Xenopus tropicalis: one gene and its partners. The main gene of each other region encodes a partner of the protein of the gene in region 2 in a complex. Links are inferred from orthologs where the notes say so. Each region holds a gene or a part of one and is shown on either strand. Other genes may lie near its edges.

Region 1 (3,513 bases), on a different chromosome or scaffold from region 2:
ACCTTCCTAATGCCACACGACCCTTTCATAAAGTTCCTCATGTTGTGGTGACCCCCAGCCATAAAATTATTTCTAAGGGCTCTGGCACACGGGGAGATTAGTCGCCCGCGACAAATCTCCCTGTTCGCGGGCGACTAATCTCCCCGAATTGCCATCCCACTGGCGACAATGTAAGTCGCCGGTGGGATGGCACACGTTGCGCAAGCGATTTCGGCAAATCGCCGAAGTTGCCTCGCGAGGCAATTTCGGCGATTTGCTGAAATTGCGCCGCCGCATGTGCCATCCCACTGCCGACTTACATTGTGGCCGGTGGGATGGCGACTCGGTGAGATTAGTCGCCCGCGAACAGGGAGACTTGTTGCGGGCGACTAATCTCCCCATGTGCCAGAGCCCTAAGACCATCAGAAAAATGTGTTTTCCGATGGTCTTAGGCGACCCCTGTGAAAGCGCCGTTCGACCCCCAAAGGGGTCCCGACCCACAGGTTGAGAACCGCTGGTCTAATGTGTGTTTTTTTTTTTTTGTTTTTTTTTACCAGCAATCTGTTTTTGGTGGATTTCTGAGCCATATTGAAAAGCTTAAGTGTGATCGACATCTGCAAAATTCATTACAGGGCATGGATTTAGGGGAAGATTTAGAGAATGAAAGTTTAGAAATGCATAAATATGGGTACCTGGATGATGCTGGACCGATTTCACCTATCGCTGAGCACGAGTAAGCATTGACATTTGATCAGCAACTGTGCTTTATCCTAAAAAGATTTAATTTTTACATTTATAATATGTGATAAAAACTAGTTCCATCTACTAGGGTCACTAGAGTGGCAGTTCACCCAAAACTAGACTTTTATTATGATGCAGACAATAGTATTAAAAATGAAAATGGGAAAAGTAGAAATATTGTGGTAACAGCAGCAACTAAAAAAGAAAAGGTGCTTAAAGGAGAAGGAAAGTCATTTTGGCATTTTACTACCAATAGATCTGCCACATTAGTGCAACCTAGAACAATATATTTATTCTGCAGAAACCATTAACATACCTGAGTAAACGGCTTTAGAAGCTTTCTCCGTTTGCTTAAGTTAGCAGCTGCCATTTTAGGTAGCATCCTTCCTGCAGTCTCTAGCCGTTATAGCTGAGATCAAAACTCCATGTTCGCTGGCGACTAATCTCACCGCGTGTGCCATCCCACCGGCGACTTACATTTTCGCCGGTGGGATGGCAGGTGATGGCAACTCGGGGAGATTAGTCACCCGCGAACAGCGAGTTTTGTTGCGGGCGACTAATCTCCCCGTGTGCCAGAGCCCTTAAGGGCACCTATGTTAGGAATATTGTTTCCACCTAACAGAGGTGCAGACTTATTTTTAAAGTATTATACCTTTTTATTTTTTTGCCTCTTTAAATCATAATGTTTAAAATGCTACTTGATTTAAATGTACACAGAAGCTGCTCAGGCATTCATTCTAAACTTCATAAAAATGCATTGTGCTTTGCATGTTAATATTTTTTTTGCAAAATATTTTAAACATAGAATTACTATTATATTAAACAGCACCCATATATTGCATAGCACTTCACATAGATTATACAGAATTGATAAAGGGGTTGTTCATCTTTGTACAACATTAACAAATCTAACTGTTCTAACAGTTCACATTAATGGAACAATCATTGCCATATACATAGTTAACAAAAAATGTGCAGCTGAAGAGATAGTAACCTCAGAATCATCCCTCTTGATCCTTCACTTCTGCACAGACCCTGTACTGGGGGGGGTTGCTGTTTTACTTCCTTATATCCTTATATAATGTCACACATAGTACTGCCAGTACTGGTTGTGTCTCTTGTGCAAATATAATATAACAGAATGGTACATTTGTGATATGCTGAGTCTGTTTGCCTATGCCTTAGCAAGGAAGAAATTAACCAATGACCTTTTTAATTTATGTATCTGGTTAGAGTGTAGAAGCAACCAATGAATTGGTCGAGTAGGAAAAAAGTAAGGGCAAAGCCTGGACTTGATGATGTAAGCATATTGGAAGTTCTCGGTGTGTCAGGTGCCACTCCCATCCCTTCTGAAAACTGATCAGGGAGACAGAAGTAGATTTTACAGTGCGCTTTACATGAGAGAATTTTTGGTGGACATTGAAGGTGAACAACCCCTTTAAGTGTGTATAGTTAACTCGATTCTGAATCATTGAATACAATAAGCAATAATGCTTTTCTTACAATCTTACAGTGCGAATACTACCAGTAATGAAGGTCTGTGTAATTATGATGCAAAAATTGTGGTGAGTCACAGCTTTCTAATAAGCAAATATTCTTTTGAAAGTATTTATCCAGATTGCTGTCTGTTGATGAGCCTTATATTCATAGGTAAAAAAAAATAGAGAGAACTTTCTCATCTGTTCCTTTTGACTTGTGATCTCAATTCTAGACTTAAAACTTTTACACTTTTAATCACTGTGTCTTATACATGCATTCATTCTATTCTCGCTGGTATTCTCACCTTTCTATCCCACATATTACTACCAATATATTCTGCACAACTTAAGCAATCAATTCCACTGAACTTTTTATCAATTACCATATCCTTATATGTTTGGGTTGTGTTTTAACATAGATGCTTATATTTTCCTCAGTTCTCCTCTTGAAATCTCAATTGGGGTAATTTATCAACAATAGGCAGGAACACATAGGGGCACATTCATCAAAGTACTGAATACAAAAAATACAAAAAATTTGTATTTTTTCTAAGTTTTCGTACTGTTTGTATTTTTTGAAACTTTTTTCGTTAATTTGCACGACTTGTTCGACAATTTGTGCAACAAAATCGTATTTGTCGCAACGAGTACGGAAGTTTCGGATTCATTAAAGCTTCGTTATCGTGACTTTTCTTGGGCCAGGTTGGAGCTACAGACTGCCATTGAGTCCTATGGGAGGCTTTCAAAAACATGCACAGAAGGATCAAAGTCAGAACGCTGTTCTGATATTATCGCGACTATTATCATTTTTTCGTAAGCATTTTTGTGACATTTCCTATCATCACAAATTATCGTATTTAATCCGAATTTGTCATGGGAAAACATAATTTTTTTCAAAACATATCAGTTAATAGAGCTTCTCCAGCAAAATCCTGCACTGAAATCTATTTTTCAAAAACACAAACTGTTTTTTTTTTTTTTCATTTAATTTTGAAATTTAACGTGGAGCTAACCATATTTCTAATTTCCCAGAATGCCACAACCATGAGATCTGTGCTCTGATAAACTTCAGTAATGATTTACTGCTGAGCTGCAAGTTGGAGTGACACCCCTCCCAGCAGCTGATCAGCAGAACAATGGGAAGGTTGCAAGATAGCAGCTCTCAGCAGATATCAGAATAGCACTCAGTAGTAAGAAAGCCAAGTCCAGCTTGCGACTCCTACAGTTATATGGGAGTAGGAGAAACAATAGGTTACCTCAGTGCTGTCCAACTGGCGGCCCGCGGCCCGTGGCCCCCCACCTGTCTGGCTGCTTT
Region 2 (4,034 bases):
TTATTAGACATAAGACAAGACATAATGAGTCAAACAATTTGGCAGCACCTTGTACTGGGCAAAGCCAGATGCAAGAACACTAAGAATACCTGAAGTGAGAATAAATTGAGGAAAGGTTTTGGTGATTGTTGTCTTTATTAAAGATGGTAGATAAAATAAATAGGGTCAAGGTTCATGGATTAGGAGGAAGAAGTCACCCAGATGGGTGTTCAGAAGAGTGAGAGACAGGCGAAAAGACTTGTTATATCTACTTACATACCTCTATGACAGTGTGGCAGCTCTTGCAGTAGAATGTGCCCTCATCACTTATTGCCCAGTTAACCTCAGAACATTGCGGACAAGGCTTGTTGTAGCCTCTCTGTTGAAGATATAAAACAAATCAGAAAGCAGAACAAGGTTATTCAAAACAATATACATATTATTAAACTGCCTTGGTCAAGATGACCAACCTAGGCCTAATTCAGTGAGTGGCTCCCCGGAAGATGCATTTATTACACATCCCTGAATTTTCGAATGATCTGGTCATCCTAACCTGCCTGTGTGCTATACTCTACCTGCCCTATGCTGCCTGTGTGTGATATACTCTGCATGTCCTGTGCTGCCTGTGTGTGATATACTCTGCATGTCCTGTGCTGCCTGTGTGTGCCATACTCTGCCTGCCCTGTGCTGCCTGTGTGTGCCATACTCTGCCTGCCCTGTGCTGCCTGTGTGTGCCATACTCTGCTTGCCCTATGCTGCCTGTGTGTGCCATACTCTGCCTGCCCTATGCTGCCTGTGTATGCCATACTCTGCCTATCTCATGCTGCGTCATACTCTGCCTGCCCTATGCCGTCTGTGTGTGCCATACTCTACCTGCTCCTGTGTGCCATTCTATCTGCCATACTTTGTCTGTTGTGTGCCATACTGTGCCAGCCTTACACTGCCTTTGTGTGCCATACTCTGCCTGCCCTATGCTGCCTGTGTGCGCCATACTCTACTCAGTAATTATGTGCTGGGAGTTGCTGTGTATCCACAGAGGAGGAGGCATATGGATTTAAGGGTGTATTAATATGACATAATATAATTCTTTAACATATGAAGGAAGGGTGATTTCCTGCAGTGAGCACCAACTATTTGGGTATTTACTGTGCTATCACCATTAATGTGAGTGTGGTCTTAAAAGCTCTTGTGATAACATTAGAGCTGTCAACCTGACCCCAAACCGCTTACTGGGCATACACACCACAAAATTCACCACAGGTTTTTGCGAGAATCAGGAGAATGCTGCTGGAGGACAAGAGAAAGGGGGAGAACCACCAAAGTTGGGTAACTCCTAAAGAAATGGGGGGGCAGCTCTGTAACATGGGTGTGGTTTGAATGGGAATTGTCAAAACTAGCTTCCATTATCAACCCTCCACCACAAAGACAGACCTCAGTACCATAGTTGAACAGCACTGCTTTCAAACAATCATTTAATTTTCTCGTCTGATGTATTTTATACTTAATATAAGGCAGCTGGATAGAACTGCTAATGTTTTAAAAAAGAGCAAACAAAAAGGTAGTTATTACCAAACTGACCTCCAAAAAGCTATGGTTTGCCAGGTTAGCATACGTGAATTTGATTGTTTACAGTGTAACCCTTTTGAAATAAAAAATAACAAAAACGGTATAACGGTGATACCTTTATTGGCTAACTAAGATAACCATAGCAAGCTTTCAGAGGTAATCAGCTTGACAAAGGAACTAGAACAGGGGTCGGGAACCTTTTTGGCCGAGAAAGCCATAAACACCACATATTTTAAAATGTAATTCCGTGAGAGCCGTACAATATGTTTGGCCGCGGATGCTGCGGGACAAGGTAGGGTGGGTCCCAATGATACCGGATGCGATGCGGAGGAGGGTGTGGCCTGCGCTCGGCAGATAGAAGACGTGTTCTAAGGCTTAGAACACGTCTATCTGCCGAGCACAGGCCACACCCCCGTTTGTTTTTTTTATTAAAGATTTGGCAGTGAGCCAGATGCAGCCATCAAAAGAGCCCCATCTGGCTCCCGAGCCATAGGTTCCCTACCCCTGAACTAGAATGTTCTGAAAGCTTGCTATAGTTATCTTAGTTAGCCAATAAATGTATCACCTTTATACCACTTTTGTTATTTTTTTATTTCAAAAGGGTTATTCTGTAAACATTTTGACTGACTAACACGGTACATCACCTTTTCGTGAATATGAGTGTGACGCACTATTGTACAAAGTTTGCTGCATGCACTGTAATCCACAAAACCAATTAGCAGATGGCATTTGTTTAATGAAAGCACATCGCTTTTTGGTTGTTAAGGAGTCTAAAGTAAACTTGGCACCTTATTACATATCCAACTGAAAATTAATATAGCATTTCCCATGAGTTACTTCCCCACATGAGGCTATTCCCAAACTATCGCTCTTCTCAATATAGCCATGCATGAAATGCCTCAGCACATCCAATACCCATTAAAGCTTTATACACTTCCACTGCATTTGACACCACACGTAGAAGAAACTCGAGTGGGATGAAAACCCTAATAGAACCAACGCGACTTCTCCTACAACTACGACACGTGACTCGCCGAGCGTCGCCGGGCATGACGTCACACGCCCTTACTCACAGCGTCTTCCTCCTCCATAGTGCGTTACGTGTCCGGGGTCCGCGCTATGAAGGGAAGCTCCGCTAATGGTCAAATTTTGGTGCCGGCGGCGCCGGTAAACTCGCGGTTACAGGACTGTGGATTTTTGTGGCGTCGCGTAGTTTTCGCGTCACTTCCTTTGCCATTTCCTGGCCGCTACTAATAGTCACGTGGTCTGCATGAACCCATCGATTTTGTACCTACACAGTAGAATGTTCCAGCTTTAATGCTGAAAAGCTCTGCACTGTAAAGAGATAATGCCATGGGGTTCAGACGTATTCAGGGTCAGGGAGACATTAAGGAAAGGTTCAGTGTAAATATAAAACTGGGTGAATAGGCTTTGCAAAATAAAGCATGTTTTTAGTATTATTAGCCAGAAATCCTAGTATTATTAGCCAGAAACCTATAAAGGCTGGCAACGGATGTCTTATGTAATAGCCAATAACACTGGATAAATCATGATGTCTTCTACAGCAGGAATTGTTAATCTCAGAGGAAAGTCTTACACTTCGGGGTATATTTATTATGCTGTGTAAAAAGTGGAGTAAAACATCACCGGTGATGTTGTTCATAGCAGCCGATCATATGCTTTGCTTTGGTTTTCTAACTGTTGAAACCTAATTGCTGATTGGTTGCCCTGAGCAACATCACTGGTAATGTTTCACTCCACTTTTTACACAGCATGATAAATATACCCCTAAGTGTGCAATTCTGGCAACAACCAAGTAGACCTGTGCTCCATGCAAGGGTTTATCTCTGGAATCCCAGGCACCTTCTTCAACCCACAGTTGCCCCTCCAGTGCGCCAACCTGCATACCAGGTCCTCTCTGTTTAGGCCCCCAAAGGCCACGGTCTGCTCTCCCTATAGCTGTGCCACGTCTCTCCTCTTTAATCAACCGTCATCTGCCTTTTCTATAGAACAGTTGAAAACCCTTAAAGGTATTTTTCTCCCTGAAATCTTCATTGGAAATCTTACAGAGAGACATCAGCTTTATACCCCTCAGACTTGGCTAACAGGGTAAATAGCACCGTCAAGGACATCTGGACAAAAGATACAATTTTTCTGCAGTTTATCATGTTTCTGGTAACATCAAGACATGATTTACAAAACTTTGTTATGGTAATTTGCACTTTCTGTTGTGCACCCAATATTTTATATTTTATATATTGGGTACGCTTGATAAAGGGTATTGACCCGAAACATGTCGTGTTACCACTACCCACAATAAATGTTTTGCAGTAAACCTGCTGAAGCTTTTTTCCTATTTTTTGGATTGGAACAAAATCACTTATTAACATTGCGCAAAGCTGGTTCCGTCTTAAACCTCTTATGTGGTTGATGGAAAAGGTGGCTCTACAAAATTTTACATTGAGGAGACTGAATACCTATTCAAACAG
Region 3 (3,983 bases), on a different chromosome or scaffold from region 2:
CAGTATAAAAGGGTATGTAGGCATGGGCTGGGAGTAAATATCAGCTTGCTTGGCATTTTACATGCGATGGGTGTGTGGCAAACACAGTCGGGGCATTACCTATAATCTGCCCCTCCAGCTCTACCATTATGGTCACATGGTTCTGGTATGAGGTTAAGGATATTTGGAGTCTCACAGCTGCGACTTTTGGGGTAGTCCAGGAGATATAGGGGGTCACAGTGGCCATGTCTTACTGGAAAAGTGAAGGGGTCCTAAATGGTTTTGCTATTAAACCCAAACGAGTCTAGTGGCAGCAGTGCAAATGTGTGTGTGACGTGACTGATGCTGAACTACAGTTTTCAACAGCAGCGCCAGTTGCAGGGAATCGTACACGGCGTAGGAGCTGCCATACAAACACACCGATCAGTACGGGCCGAGCTCCGGCTACAGGACTGGGTACTAAGAAGCAGCGCTGCTCTATTTCCAGGAAAGGGCGCTCTGAGGTCACAATTCCCCACCCCGAGTCGGGCTAGGACTCTCCGTTCTGCCTGCAGGGGGCCCCCGCCGCCTCTCACCGTAGCACCCGCCCAGCACCGGGAGGGGACGGGATCCGGAAAGAGCAGACGTATCCCACCCCCGAAAGGGAGGAACTTCTGGCTGGGAGCCGGGATTCCTGTTGGGCGCGTCGGGAAGCAGCAGCGATGCGGTCCCGGTAACTGTACAACCCTAGTCCGGTGCGAGGGAGGATTAGCGCGGCAGCGACCCCCAGGCAAAGCCGGGTTCCTAGCCGTAAGGGCGGCCCGACTGAGCACTGCCGCATACCCAGCGGTACTCTCCCGTCTCCAGTCCCAGGGAGGGGTCGCTCCAACCTGACACAACCCACTGACTCTACCGAAGAACCGTCTCACCCGGGAACCCCTGACCCTAGCGAGTAATGCCTGCGGGGCTGGTCCTTACTGGACCAAAACACCAGCTTTCCGGGCACCCTATCCCGCTTAGTCCAACCCCCACCCCGGGCTCTGACTCTCCGTACCAGTAAATAGCATCTTTTCGAGCCCCCGTCCGTAGCGAGGAATACACCCTAACCTACCGCCCGCTTCCGAACCAGCGGCTCCCGAGAAAAGCGCTCCCCCCTTTGTTATGGACCAGCCGTAGCTCCGGCGTCCGCTCCTTCCCTGCCGCGGCACGGCTTCCACTAGTACGGATCAGCCCATTCCGCGACCCAGGGGGAGCCTCCGCCTTAAAACGCTTTTCATTGGGATCGCTGGTAGCCCCGACTCGTTCACCCTGTGCCGGGAAGCCGCTTGGGCTGCCTTGAGCAAGGTGCGGGGAAAGGCTCCGAATCGGATTCGGCTAAAGCAGAGCCCGTATGGTTAAACCATCAGACGATCCAGTCGGGCTGCCTGCGGTAGTATAATGCGCCACAGGCTCGGCCGACTTTCACCCACCTCGTTATTTGCCCACAATGGGTCCCTTCGCTTCTACCCGCGAATGATTCTTTCGCTCCCCGTTAGACACCGGCCGACTGCCTCCTTAACTACCGGCAGCGCAGTCCAGGCAGCATCTGTTCTTCCCGGGAAACAGGGTCACCTTCTACCCCCTCTCCGCTCCTACTCACCGTGAGAAGCGCCGTCCCCAGCCCGAGTCCCCTGCCAGCCCACGTGTCGCGCCCGGAAGCCCCGCAACAGCAGCCGGACGCCCCCTCGCGTTTCCCCGCAATATGCACCCGAGCCCCGGCCAGCTCTGCCTCATGTTCCCGGCCCCCTCCCTTCGGTGCTCCGAGCCGTGTCGGCGCAGCTCCCCGCAATCTTCCCGGGCACCCACCTCTCTGCTCCCCTGGGAACGTCTCTCTCCTTCCCCCTCCGCAGCTCTTACCTTGTTCCCAGCTGCCGGGCCTCACCTTCCGGCCAAGGGGGGAGGAGGAGCCGGAGACTCGGGGGAGAGCGACCTCAGCAGCCCCAGCGCGGAACTAGCAGCCTCTTCCCGAGAAAAACAAGCCAAAGCCCGAGGGGAGGGTGCCTGGGAGAGGGCGCAGCGGGAACCCGGGCTGCTATTGCCCTTATTGGGTTCCACACTGCCCGTCACATACAGTGCCCTTCCCCGCATTAAACAAACCCATGCCCCGCAGGGTGAGCCCGGGCAGGGAAACTGAGGCTACACGTACCTTCCCCATAACCGCAACGGGGTGAGTCGCGCAAGGTGACCGAGAAAAGTGCATGTTTCTCGGCAAGCCCGACTGAATCGTGCCCGCTTGGAGGTGACATTTTCCCCGGGTTTCCCCGCACACTAACGCCCTTCGGTGGCTACAAATTCCCCGGCCGGTAGTGGATTTTATACTAATCCAGCGATCTGTGCCGTATCCGTCCCCAGGTGCCCGCAGACCCCCAAGCCGGCTTACCCCACTGTCTCTCCCAGGGATGTTGGGGGGAATCTGCTTGTCCGGATCTCGGAGACAAAGCGGCTGCGGCAGCCCCTGGGTAATGGCGAGAGCTCCGGGGGAGGGGGGGCGCTGCCTGCTCCTTCTCCCCGCCCAGCGTCGCTGCAGCAGCAGCCGGGCAGACAGAACGCGGGGAGCCGCCTCCTCCTCCTCCCGCTGCTGCACCCTACACAGCCCGGCAGGGGGGCCTCGCCAGCTCCGGGGGAGTTCTATGGAGCTCAGTGAAACCCACCTCCTGTGTGTGTGTGTGCAGCCCGGGCTCGGCTTCCTCCTCCCCTGTACAAGGCTGGGGAAGCGGCGCTTGAATGATGGCCAGATCTGCAGCGCTGGCCCCGGGCGTGGACTCAGACCCAGTCCCCGCAGAGAGCTCGCACTTCCCCCGCCTCCATCGCTCTCCGTGCCTATACAGCCTTCCAATCAGCCAGGCCCCCTCCAATCTCTCCCTGCAACAGGCTCCAGCTGATCCCTCCATCCCTCCCTTTCCTCCATCCAGCCAGCACCGCAATCTGCTCCCCATTACCAGCTGCCGCTACAGGCACCCCTCACATTCACCTCATACGGCAGCAATTTGCTTCCAGCTGTTGTCCAACTACAGCTCCCAGATAGGCTGTGCGGGCATTCTGGGAGCTGTAGTCCAACAATACAGTGATCATGGTTGAAGCAGGGCTTGGTGGCTGCTCAGATCCGGCGGCTGCTGGCTGCTCAGCGCTTCCAACCATACACAGGCGCTAAACCCCCCATAACAGGTTTTTATTCCCTATATGTTGTTCCTGTCTGACTCTTATTTATCTTCTCCTTTTTTTTAACCTAATTTTTTTTTTGACTCCACCTTTGTTGTTGAAAGCGTCAGAGAGAGGGAGCCAATCATGGGGGAAGCTTTCCTGGCACATCAAGGAGGGTTTCTTCTCTCTCTCTCTTTAACATGAACAGCAATCAGGCATAATGAGCGGGGAGCAGCTAGAGATGCCAGGAGCCCATACTGTGCCAGGGGAAGGGCTTTGCGCCTTACAGTTATTAACCCTTATTTATATGGTACTGACACTGCAGCAATGAGCAGAGATTGTACACCAGCCCCCGCTCCAGTGGAGCTTACAATCTAAGGTTGCTACCACATTCACTAGGGTCAATTTATCAGTACCACTTAATCTGCCTGTATGTATTTGGAGTGTGGGAGGAATCCCAGGGAGTTGCAGCTAGTGCCCAGGCTAGAATGAAACCCAGACAGCAGTGCTAACCAGGGGTGTAACTATATACAGGGTTGAACTGGGGGGCCCTGTCCTGGCCCCCACTGTCTGCTCAACTCCCTCTGCCGTGTGTCTTAGCTTATGTGCAACAGGGGAGAGAGCGCCATGGGTTTTGGGCCCAGTCCAACCCTGACTGGGGTGGGGGGCCCGACTGCAGGGTCTGCTGTGCCTTAGTCCCCCCTCCCAGGCCCCTTTCCTACCTTAAATATACTGGTGCAGTCTGGCCGGATGGAGGGACTGGTTGCGCCGGACCCTCTCAAAAGCTTTTTATGCAGGGGGCAACCAAGTTATGCCACTTGTGCTAACCCCTATGATGCCCATTG
Region 4 (4,183 bases), about 99 Mb from region 2:
TTTCCGCAATCAGCAGCTCCCGCCCGCCGTGCCTTGCATTATCCGATAATGCGGCCCCCAGGTAAATTGAGTTTGAGCCCCCTGGTATAACACCATCCTCCAGTAATTTCTCCCATATAGCGGAGGCCCATCCTGATGTATGAGAGTCACATGTAACCAATGCTCTACAACTAGCCTGGTTTTGGTCCAATCTATCCCAAAATAGTGTTACACAATACAGAAACTATGAATAAAAGGCATTTAGTACTTCCACTGTATTCCCTGGTCCCAGGTACACTAGCAAACAATTTTTGGCCACCTCCACTCCATGCTCAAGAGAGTGCCTTTTTTGTGTTACTCGCTGTAGCCCTGGGGTCTGCTCCCCCCTATAGCTACACTGCTTGCAGGCAGCAGGTGTGCATACTTTTCTTTGCACTAAACAAAAGACGTATGTCATTTTAAGCATCTAATTGTACACATGTAATGGTATTTAAAAAAAACAAACAAACCATGAAATACAAAAGATATAAAGACTAATGTGGGAACTGTTGCTTTATGTCACACAGCATTGTTCATGTCACCATATATTTTACTTTAAAAATATATTCCCCCAAAGTCCAAATTCTCTAGACACTTCTGGTAGGGATGTGTGCCGCAAGCATGAGACTTCTGAGCATTTTTAAACTCAGTAAAAATAACTGTTTCCTTTTCACATTGGAAATTGTTTCAGCAGTAAAAATGCTGATAAAAATAATTTAGTCAGATTCAGTCTGAAGCAAACCAAAGCTGCCACAGTGTGAGTTAGCAGTTGAAATCCATACATACAAAGTTTTTACTCAATTAGGAGGCACATTGGTACTACTATAATCATACAGAAGTTGCCCAACACAACGTGGTGTTTGAAACTAGCTCACACTTAGTTTCACACTGATATTCATGGCTGCTAATTCAGCCACAAAATAACGGAAAACATAAGGTACTGATACAGTCTCAACAGTATCCGTACGATCGCAGACTTCACAGTGGTGTTTTCGGTTGCGTATGGATGACCAGGAAGGCGGAGGCTTTTCCAAGAAAGGAGAGAGTAGGCTTCCACATTCTATGCACACATGTGCTGTCGACCTATCCGAGCAGTTAAAAAGTCGATCATGAAGCAGGAAAGAGGTACCGTGGGCCAGCAGTGCATCACGCTCCATTTCTCCAAAACGTATCCCACCTTGAACATTACGGCCTCCCACAGGCTGGTTGGTAACTTTATCCCTGGCACCTGTTGTTCTAACCTGAAACTTGTCAGAGACCATGTGTCGAAGGCGCTGGTAGTAAACCACCCCAATGAAAATATCGGCTTCAAGTTCCAGGCCACTTATGCCACTGTATAGTTTCTCTGTGCCATAGAAATTGTAACCACCTGCTCTCAGCATTTCTCCAAAATATTCAAGGGCAGAGTTTTCTTCAGAAAATGTAAAGGGTGTGGCATCGTGGCAGAGACCATGCAGGGCTGCTGACTTTCCAGCCATGCTCTCTATCAGCATCCCAATGGTCATTCTAGAGGGAAATCCGTGAGGATTGAAAAGGATGTCCGGAACCATTCCACTCTCTGTAAATGGCATATCCTCAGACGGCCAAAGCCTACTCAAAATACCCTTTTGGCCATGCCGACTTGCAAATTTATCCCCGATTGTTGGATTACGGGGGATTCTCATGGTGACACAAACAGACTTAAACTTTCCAAAACCAATGTCATTACTGCAGATTTTGATGTTGTCAATTACACAGTTTTCTTTACTCCTAAAAAGAATAAATAAGAGATACGAATGATATCTGGTGCCTGTCTTATTATAAATAACTATGTGCATAAATGCTCTTTGGTCTTTGTTTGTACAACTTTATTTAAACCACTATAAACAATTTTCAAAGGGGGCTGCTGTACACAACATCAAAAAAGCAAAACAAGGTGTGGAATTGGAGTTATAACATACAATTAGGGCTCAAAGACGAGGAAATTAGGTGATTTGCCCAGGATCAAGAATTTAAACCAGGATCTGTAGTATCAGTATCAGATAGATAATGTATCCATTACTCCTTCTTGTACATTCAAAATAATACTAGGCCATTCATACAGGATCCCAGGGAACTGCAAGCAAATTAATACTTACTTGTAATAGGCAACAAAGCTCTCCCCTGTGTTAAGGTTCAGGTAGCCATAGTAAGGGTCTCCAAACTGCAGAACAGCACCAACAGCAGGGAGGCCATCGCTGTCCAGTCTTCCTTTCACCCGCTCATCATCTGGTTTGATGCCAAAAACTAGATTATCTTCTCCATCTTTAAGTTTTTTACTGAGATCCACGTGATCAGTTTTATACACACTTCCATGAGCAAAGCCTCTTTCCCATGATGACTTGTTCAAGACCTGCAAAACACCAGTACAGATGTCACCCCTGAAGCTGATACTGAACAAAAGATCTGGTTCTTGTATAAGGCTGATGCATTTATTGTGCACTGGAAACTTGAAGTTTTATTTAGTGATTTCTGGTCATTAGCTGGTATGTAGGCCAACATAAGGTCCCACTTATCAATGGTAGGCCCAGTGCCAAGTGCAATAATGGGATTAAAATGTTATCTATTAAAATAGTATGCTCCTACTTGTACTCCCTACAGTTTGGACACAAGGGTGCCCTTTACTTATCACCTGCCTTTAATAAGTATTAAGTACAGGCATCTTCTATGCATTGTGCCTAGTGAATAGTAGGCAAACAAAATGGATGCCCCCACCCCAAGGTGTAAATACAGACACACAGAAAATAAATATTTAATGTACGTAAAAGCAATGCCCTCATATTTTACAGTTTATTTAACAAAAATAAATTGATAACATTTTTAAATAGATAATATTATTCTTATTAATTATATGCATGACATCACCAACTATACCAGCGTTTCTGGTGATGAAGCAACTCATACTCCACCGCCTCTGGCGACTGCCGATACCTGTCCATCTCTGATAGTATTAGGGGGGGCGGGGGGCACACACTGGTTTTACAGCCTTTTAAAACCTCAGCCTAGGCTGGAAAGGGGCAAGTAAGTTTAAGAAATTACTACCTATGACAAATGTTTTTAATAATTTCAATAAATAAGCAGATATGTAAATCTCTATTCACCAAATTTGGGACAACTACTTACCATGGCATCCTCCATGTCATACCCTGTATACGAAATGACTGCTACGATTGCATTGGTGCCAATGGGATAGTTATCCATCTCATAATAATCATACATGGAAGGCCGAACTAAAGGACTCTGTGGGGTCTGTAGCCGGTACAGTTTGTTATCAGAGCGATCCTGATAAGTCATAAGAGGGAAGCCCATTGTCTGCTTACCTGGAAATAATGCAATTTATGAAATTTCAGGAAAAAGCAAGGGTCTCTTCCTCAAGTAATGAACTTTTCTGCTGCAATATTTAGCTCTACATACTATTTTATAGCTCTTACAAGAGTAGATTAAACTTAACCAGAACAAATCTTACATTCTTACCAAATTCTGATGCCCTGCTTAAAAGATGACTTACCCATCTGACACTGATACATGTTTCTGGGACTCTGGTTGTGGTCTGAGAAGGGGATAAAATTTGCTACTACACTCAGCATGCTGTGCGGGAAAAACTCCTGGTGAGTGGTCTCTCCGGGTACAATATCACCTTCATAAACTGCCACATTCAAGAAAACCTGGGGCAAACACAAGTAACACCAGTGAAATACAATACATTATGGATAATTCCTGCAAAGAAAATGAAACTTACAACAGATGTTTAACACATAATACAGGATCAAAGCTAGAGTCATGCAGGAGATTACCAATCAGAGACAATATTGTAATGGAATTCAAGAAGGAGCCTAAAATATGGTCATCAAATTAAAGAAGATTTACTTATGTACAAAACACTGAAAAATACCTGTTCCAAAGTGCCAAGCAATTCCTCTTTACCCAAGGCCAAATTCCTGACGGGACGTACCATCCTGCAGGGGGTGGTGAAAAGAAAAAGCCCAGGGTACAGACTTGCTTTCCCAGTCATTGGGATAAGGACAATTTCAGTCCATGGAGGCACATTCTTTTCATGTTTCACCTGCATTAATATAAAGCAAACATAAAAAACTATTAAGAGATCAAGTTGAAGAAGGTCTTCACTGCACTGATTGCCTCCCTAGTG
Region 5 (3,996 bases), about 130 Mb from region 2:
AGTATAGCTGTAACTATTGCTGCCTATTGCTTAGTATAGCTGTAACTATAGCTGCCTATTGCTTAGTATAGCTGTAACTATTGCTGCCTATTGCTTAGTATAGCTGTAACTATTGCTGCCTATTGCTTAGTATAGCTGTAACTATTGCTGCCTATTGCTTAGTATAGCTGTAACTATAGCTGCCTATTGCTTAGTATAGCTGTAACTATTGCTGCCTATTGCTTAGTATAGCTGTAACTATTGCTGCCTATTGCTTAGTATAGCTGTAACTATTGCTGCCTATTGCTTAGTATAGCTGTAACTATTGCTGCCTATTGCTTAGTATAGCTGTAACTATAGCTGCCTATTGCTTAGTATAGCTGTAACTATTGCTGCCTATTGCTTAGTATAGCTGTAACTATTGCTGCCTATTGCTTAGTATAGCTGTAACTATTGCTGCCTATTGCTTAGTATAGCTGTAACTATAGCTGCCTATTGCTTAGTATAGCTGTAACTATAGCTGCCTATTGCTTAGTATAGCTGTAACTATTGCTGCCTATTGCTTAGTATAGCTGTAACTATTGCTGCCTATTGCTTAGTATAGCTGTAACTATTGCTGCCTATTGCTTAGTATGGCTGTAACAAGGATGTCCAAAGGGATCAAAGCTGAAAGGAATGACCAAATGTTCTGTATGGGCCAACTGTAACAATAGTGAGGCAATAATTGAAAAACTGGGTGGGTTATAGGGTTTTTAAAAATCAAAAATTAAAACCATGTCCATTATTCACAAAAACATGGCAGTGTAACTTCAAATAAAATACTAAGTTTGGGATATCAGGAGCAGACTCTGAGGGTAGTGGGTATTGCTGGTAATCACCAGAAAAATAAAGCTTTTTTTCATATTTACCTCACCCACAAATATAAACAAAGTGTTTTTTTTGTTCCCATTTACATGTTCTGTGGAGCAGAGAAAGCAAATATTTGTTTTTTCATCAAACACTGGGGATAAAGCTTCTAAGGGCAGTGGCCATGGCAAGGAAACACGAAGGAAAAAAGCAGTCGTTATTTTCTTTATTTATTCTCTAACAAAATCAGAATCTGTGAGAGCAGAATAATCAGTCAGCGGCCCCCACTGCCAGCTATTGCCTGACTAACTCTTCACCCAATGACGAGTTGGCGCCGTCTCCGCCCCTTTTATACGTGGTTCATGACGTCATATTCTCGCGAGAGGAGGCTAGCGGCGTGTGGCTGAACATGCCTGCGGGATGCTTGGGGCTGGAAGTGCAAGCGGCGCTGCGGGGAATGTAAACACAGTGTGAGGGGGAAGCAGCCCGCTTGTCTGATTGTAACCGAGGGGAGATGGATGGGAGCAGCGAACGCAGTGCGGAAAGGGAAGATTCCGAGGAGGGACCGAGTGAGGAGGAGGTTCTGGGGCTCCAGCTGCCGGTGCCAAGAAGGAAACCCCACGGTAAAGACACTTAAGGGTATATTGATCATGCTGTGTAAAAAGTGGAGTAAAACATCACCAGTGTTGTTGTATATAGCAGCCAATCAGATGCTTTGATTTGATTTTCTAACTGTTGAAATCTAATTGCTGATTGGTTGCTCTGGGTAACATCACCAGTACTGCTTTACTCCACTTTTTACACAGCATGATAAGTACATACCTCCCAACATTTGAAAAATGAAAAGAGGGACAAAAAGATTTGGCGCGCGCGCAGTGCGGCATTTTTTTTAATCACGCCCCCTTTTGTGGCCACGCCCCAATTACCACACCCCATTAAAAAAAAATACCCCTTTTATATAGATGAAATGGCGGGCGCAGACGAAAATGTGCTATACCCTCATACTGTACTACCTAAGGAAAACAATATAGCAACTCCTACATATAAATACAAGTATAGAGAGAAGGCAGTCAGTTATAACTAAGTACCAGTTTTGCCCCCCCATACACAGTAGCCCCCCCATACACAGTAGCCCCCCCATACACAGTAACCCCCCCATACAGAGTAACCCCCCCATACAGAGTAGCCCCCCCATACAGAGTAGCCCCCCCATACACAGTAGCCCCCCATACACAGTAGCCCCCCATACACAGTAGCCCCCCATACACAGTAGCCCCCCATACACAGTAGCCGTCCCCCCGATCACAGTGTCCCCCCGATCACAGTGTCCCCCCCGATCACAGTGTCCCCCCCGATCACAGTGTCCCCCCGATCACAGTGTCCCCCCGATCACAGTGTCCCCCCCGATCACAGTGTCCCCCCCCACAGGTCCCCCCGATCACAGTGTCCCCCCCGATCACAGTGTCCCCCCCGATCACAGTGTCCCCCCCGATCACAGTGTCCCCCCCGATCACAGTGTCCCCCCCGATCACAGTGTCCCCCCCGATCACAGTGTCCCCCCCGATCACAGTGTCCCCCCCGATCACAGTGGCCCCCCCGATCACAGTGGCCCCCCATTCACAGTACCTCCCATAGGCGCAGGCTTCTTCTGCTGCTTCGTTATGCCTCTCCTTGTGCAGCGCGACAGGCCCTTTTATAAGGTTGCGCCCATGCGTAATGACGTCACACCCACAGGCGCAACCTTATAAAAGGGCCTGTAGCGCTGCACAAGGAGAGGCATAACGAAGCAGCCGACGAAGCAAGAACATCCGGCTACAGCAAGCGCATCCTGCTGTGCCGGATAGTTCCATGAATGTCCCGCAATGCGGGACAGTTGGGGGGTATGTAAGTATACCCCTTAGTAGTGACTGTCTGTGGCACCTTACAGCCCCCCTGGCATTCCCAGTACCCAGAGGCACAAACAGCCCCCCCAGCCCAATAAATAGTGACTGTCTGTGGCACCTTACAGCCCCCCTGGCATTCCCAGTACCCAGAGGCACAAACAGCCCCCCCAGCCCAATAAATAGTGACTGTCTGTGGCACCTTACAGCCCCCCTGGCATTCCCAGTACCCAGAGGCACAAACAGCCCCCCAGCCCAATAAATAGTGACTGTCTGTGGCACCTTACAGCCCCCCTGGCATTCCCAGTACCCAGAGGCACAAACAGCCCCCCCCCCCAGCCCAATAAATAGTGACTGTCTGTGGCACCTTACAGCCCCCCTGGCATTCCCAATACCCAGAGGCACAAACAGCCCCCCCCCCAGCCCAATAAATAGTGACTGTCTGTGGCACCTTACAGCCCCCTGGCATTCCCAGTACCCAGAGGCACAAACAGCCCCCCAGCCCAATAAATAGTGACTGTCTGTAGTACCTTACAGCCCCCCTGGCATTCCCAGTACCCAGAGGCACAAACAGCCCCCCCCCCAGCCCAATAAATAGTGACTGTCTGTGGCACCTTACAGCCCCCCGGCATTCCCAGTACCCAGAGGCACAAACAGCCCCCCCCCCAGCCCAATAAATAGTGACTGTCTGTGGCACCTTACAGCCCCCCTGGCATTCCCAGTACCCAGAGGCACAAACAGCTCCCCCCCAGCCCAATAAATAGTGACTGTCTGTGGCTCCTTACAGCCCCCCTGGCATTCCCAGTACCCAGAGGCACAAACAGCCCCCCCCAGCCCAATAAATAGTGACTGTCTGTGGCACCTTACAGCCCCCCTGGCATTCCCAGTACCCAGAGGCACAAACAGCCCCCCCAGCCCAATAAATAGTGACTGTCTGTGGCACCTTACAGCCCCCCGGCATTCCCAGTACCCAGAGGCACAAACAGCCCCCCCCCCAGCCCAATAAATAGTGACTGTCTGTGGCACCTTACAGCCCCCCTGGCATTCCCAGTACCCAGAGGCACAAACGCCCCCCCAGCCCAATAAATAGTGACTGTCTGTGGTACCTTACAGCAGCCCCTCTGGCATTCCCAGTACCCAGAGGCATTGGCCAGAACCCACAGATTGCCAGTCTGGGCCTGGTGTGGCTGTAGAGTTGCTAAATTGTATATAGGGAACCTCTGCCCTCAGTAAACTGATACATTTAGCCCTCATAAAGGAGACATATCATGTTAAAATTATGAATGTACCA

Evidence for each region.
Region 1: taf1b (region 2) and taf1d share a complex: the UniProt entries of both Homo sapiens proteins name them as parts of the transcription factor SL1/TIF-IB complex. The link is inferred for Xenopus tropicalis from reciprocal best matches to the Homo sapiens genes TAF1B and TAF1D.
Region 3: taf1b (region 2) and ubtf share a complex: the UniProt entries of both Homo sapiens proteins name them as parts of the pol I pre-initiation complex. The link is inferred for Xenopus tropicalis from reciprocal best matches to the Homo sapiens genes TAF1B and UBTF.
Region 4: taf1b (region 2) and polr1b share a complex: the UniProt entries of both Homo sapiens proteins name them as parts of the pol I pre-initiation complex. The link is inferred for Xenopus tropicalis from reciprocal best matches to the Homo sapiens genes TAF1B and POLR1B.
Region 5: taf1b (region 2) and taf1a share a complex: the UniProt entries of both Homo sapiens proteins name them as parts of the transcription factor SL1/TIF-IB complex. The link is inferred for Xenopus tropicalis from reciprocal best matches to the Homo sapiens genes TAF1B and TAF1A.

Annotation. Positions count from the first base shown.
Region 1 is NC_030678.2:100,285,163-100,288,675, reverse strand, and holds part of taf1d (TATA box-binding protein-associated factor RNA polymerase I subunit D), read left to right. Parts: intron 1-536; coding exon 537-712; intron 713-2,233; coding exon 2,234-2,285; intron 2,286-3,513. UniProt on the Homo sapiens protein: Component of the transcription factor SL1/TIF-IB complex, which is involved in the assembly of the PIC (preinitiation complex) during RNA polymerase I-dependent transcription.
Region 2 is NC_030681.2:138,009,634-138,013,667, reverse strand, and holds the start of taf1b (TATA box-binding protein-associated factor RNA polymerase I subunit B), read right to left. Parts: upstream 2,802-4,034; 5' UTR 2,637-2,801; coding exon 2,619-2,636; intron 359-2,618; coding exon 260-358; intron 1-259. UniProt on the Homo sapiens protein: Component of RNA polymerase I core factor complex that acts as a GTF2B/TFIIB-like factor and plays a key role in multiple steps during transcription initiation such as pre-initiation complex (PIC) assembly and postpolymerase recruitment events in polymerase I (Pol I) transcription.
Region 3 is NC_030686.2:18,523,038-18,527,020, forward strand, and holds the start of ubtf (nucleolar transcription factor 1), read right to left. Parts: upstream 2,805-3,983; 5' UTR 2,378-2,804; exon of another isoform or gene 2,144-2,377; intron 2,009-2,143; exon of another isoform or gene 1,598-2,008; intron 1,570-1,597; exon of another isoform or gene 1,428-1,569; intron 1,367-1,427; exon of another isoform or gene 1,070-1,366; intron 977-1,069; exon of another isoform or gene 400-976; intron 1-399. UniProt on the Homo sapiens protein: Recognizes the ribosomal RNA gene promoter and activates transcription mediated by RNA polymerase I (Pol I) through cooperative interactions with the transcription factor SL1/TIF-IB complex.
Region 4 is NC_030681.2:38,746,330-38,750,512, reverse strand, and holds the end of polr1b (DNA-directed RNA polymerase I subunit RPA2), read right to left. Parts: intron 4,100-4,183; coding exon 3,929-4,099; intron 3,702-3,928; coding exon 3,545-3,701; intron 3,357-3,544; coding exon 3,160-3,356; intron 2,390-3,159; coding exon 2,136-2,389; intron 1,768-2,135; coding exon 885-1,767; 3' UTR 507-884; downstream 1-506. UniProt on the Homo sapiens protein: Catalytic core component of RNA polymerase I (Pol I), a DNA-dependent RNA polymerase which synthesizes ribosomal RNA precursors using the four ribonucleoside triphosphates as substrates.
Region 5 is NC_030681.2:9,682,499-9,686,494, forward strand, and holds the start of taf1a (TATA box-binding protein-associated factor RNA polymerase I subunit A), read left to right. Parts: upstream 1-1,183; 5' UTR 1,184-1,339; coding exon 1,340-1,448; intron 1,449-3,996. UniProt on the Homo sapiens protein: Component of the transcription factor SL1/TIF-IB complex, which is involved in the assembly of the PIC (pre-initiation complex) during RNA polymerase I-dependent transcription.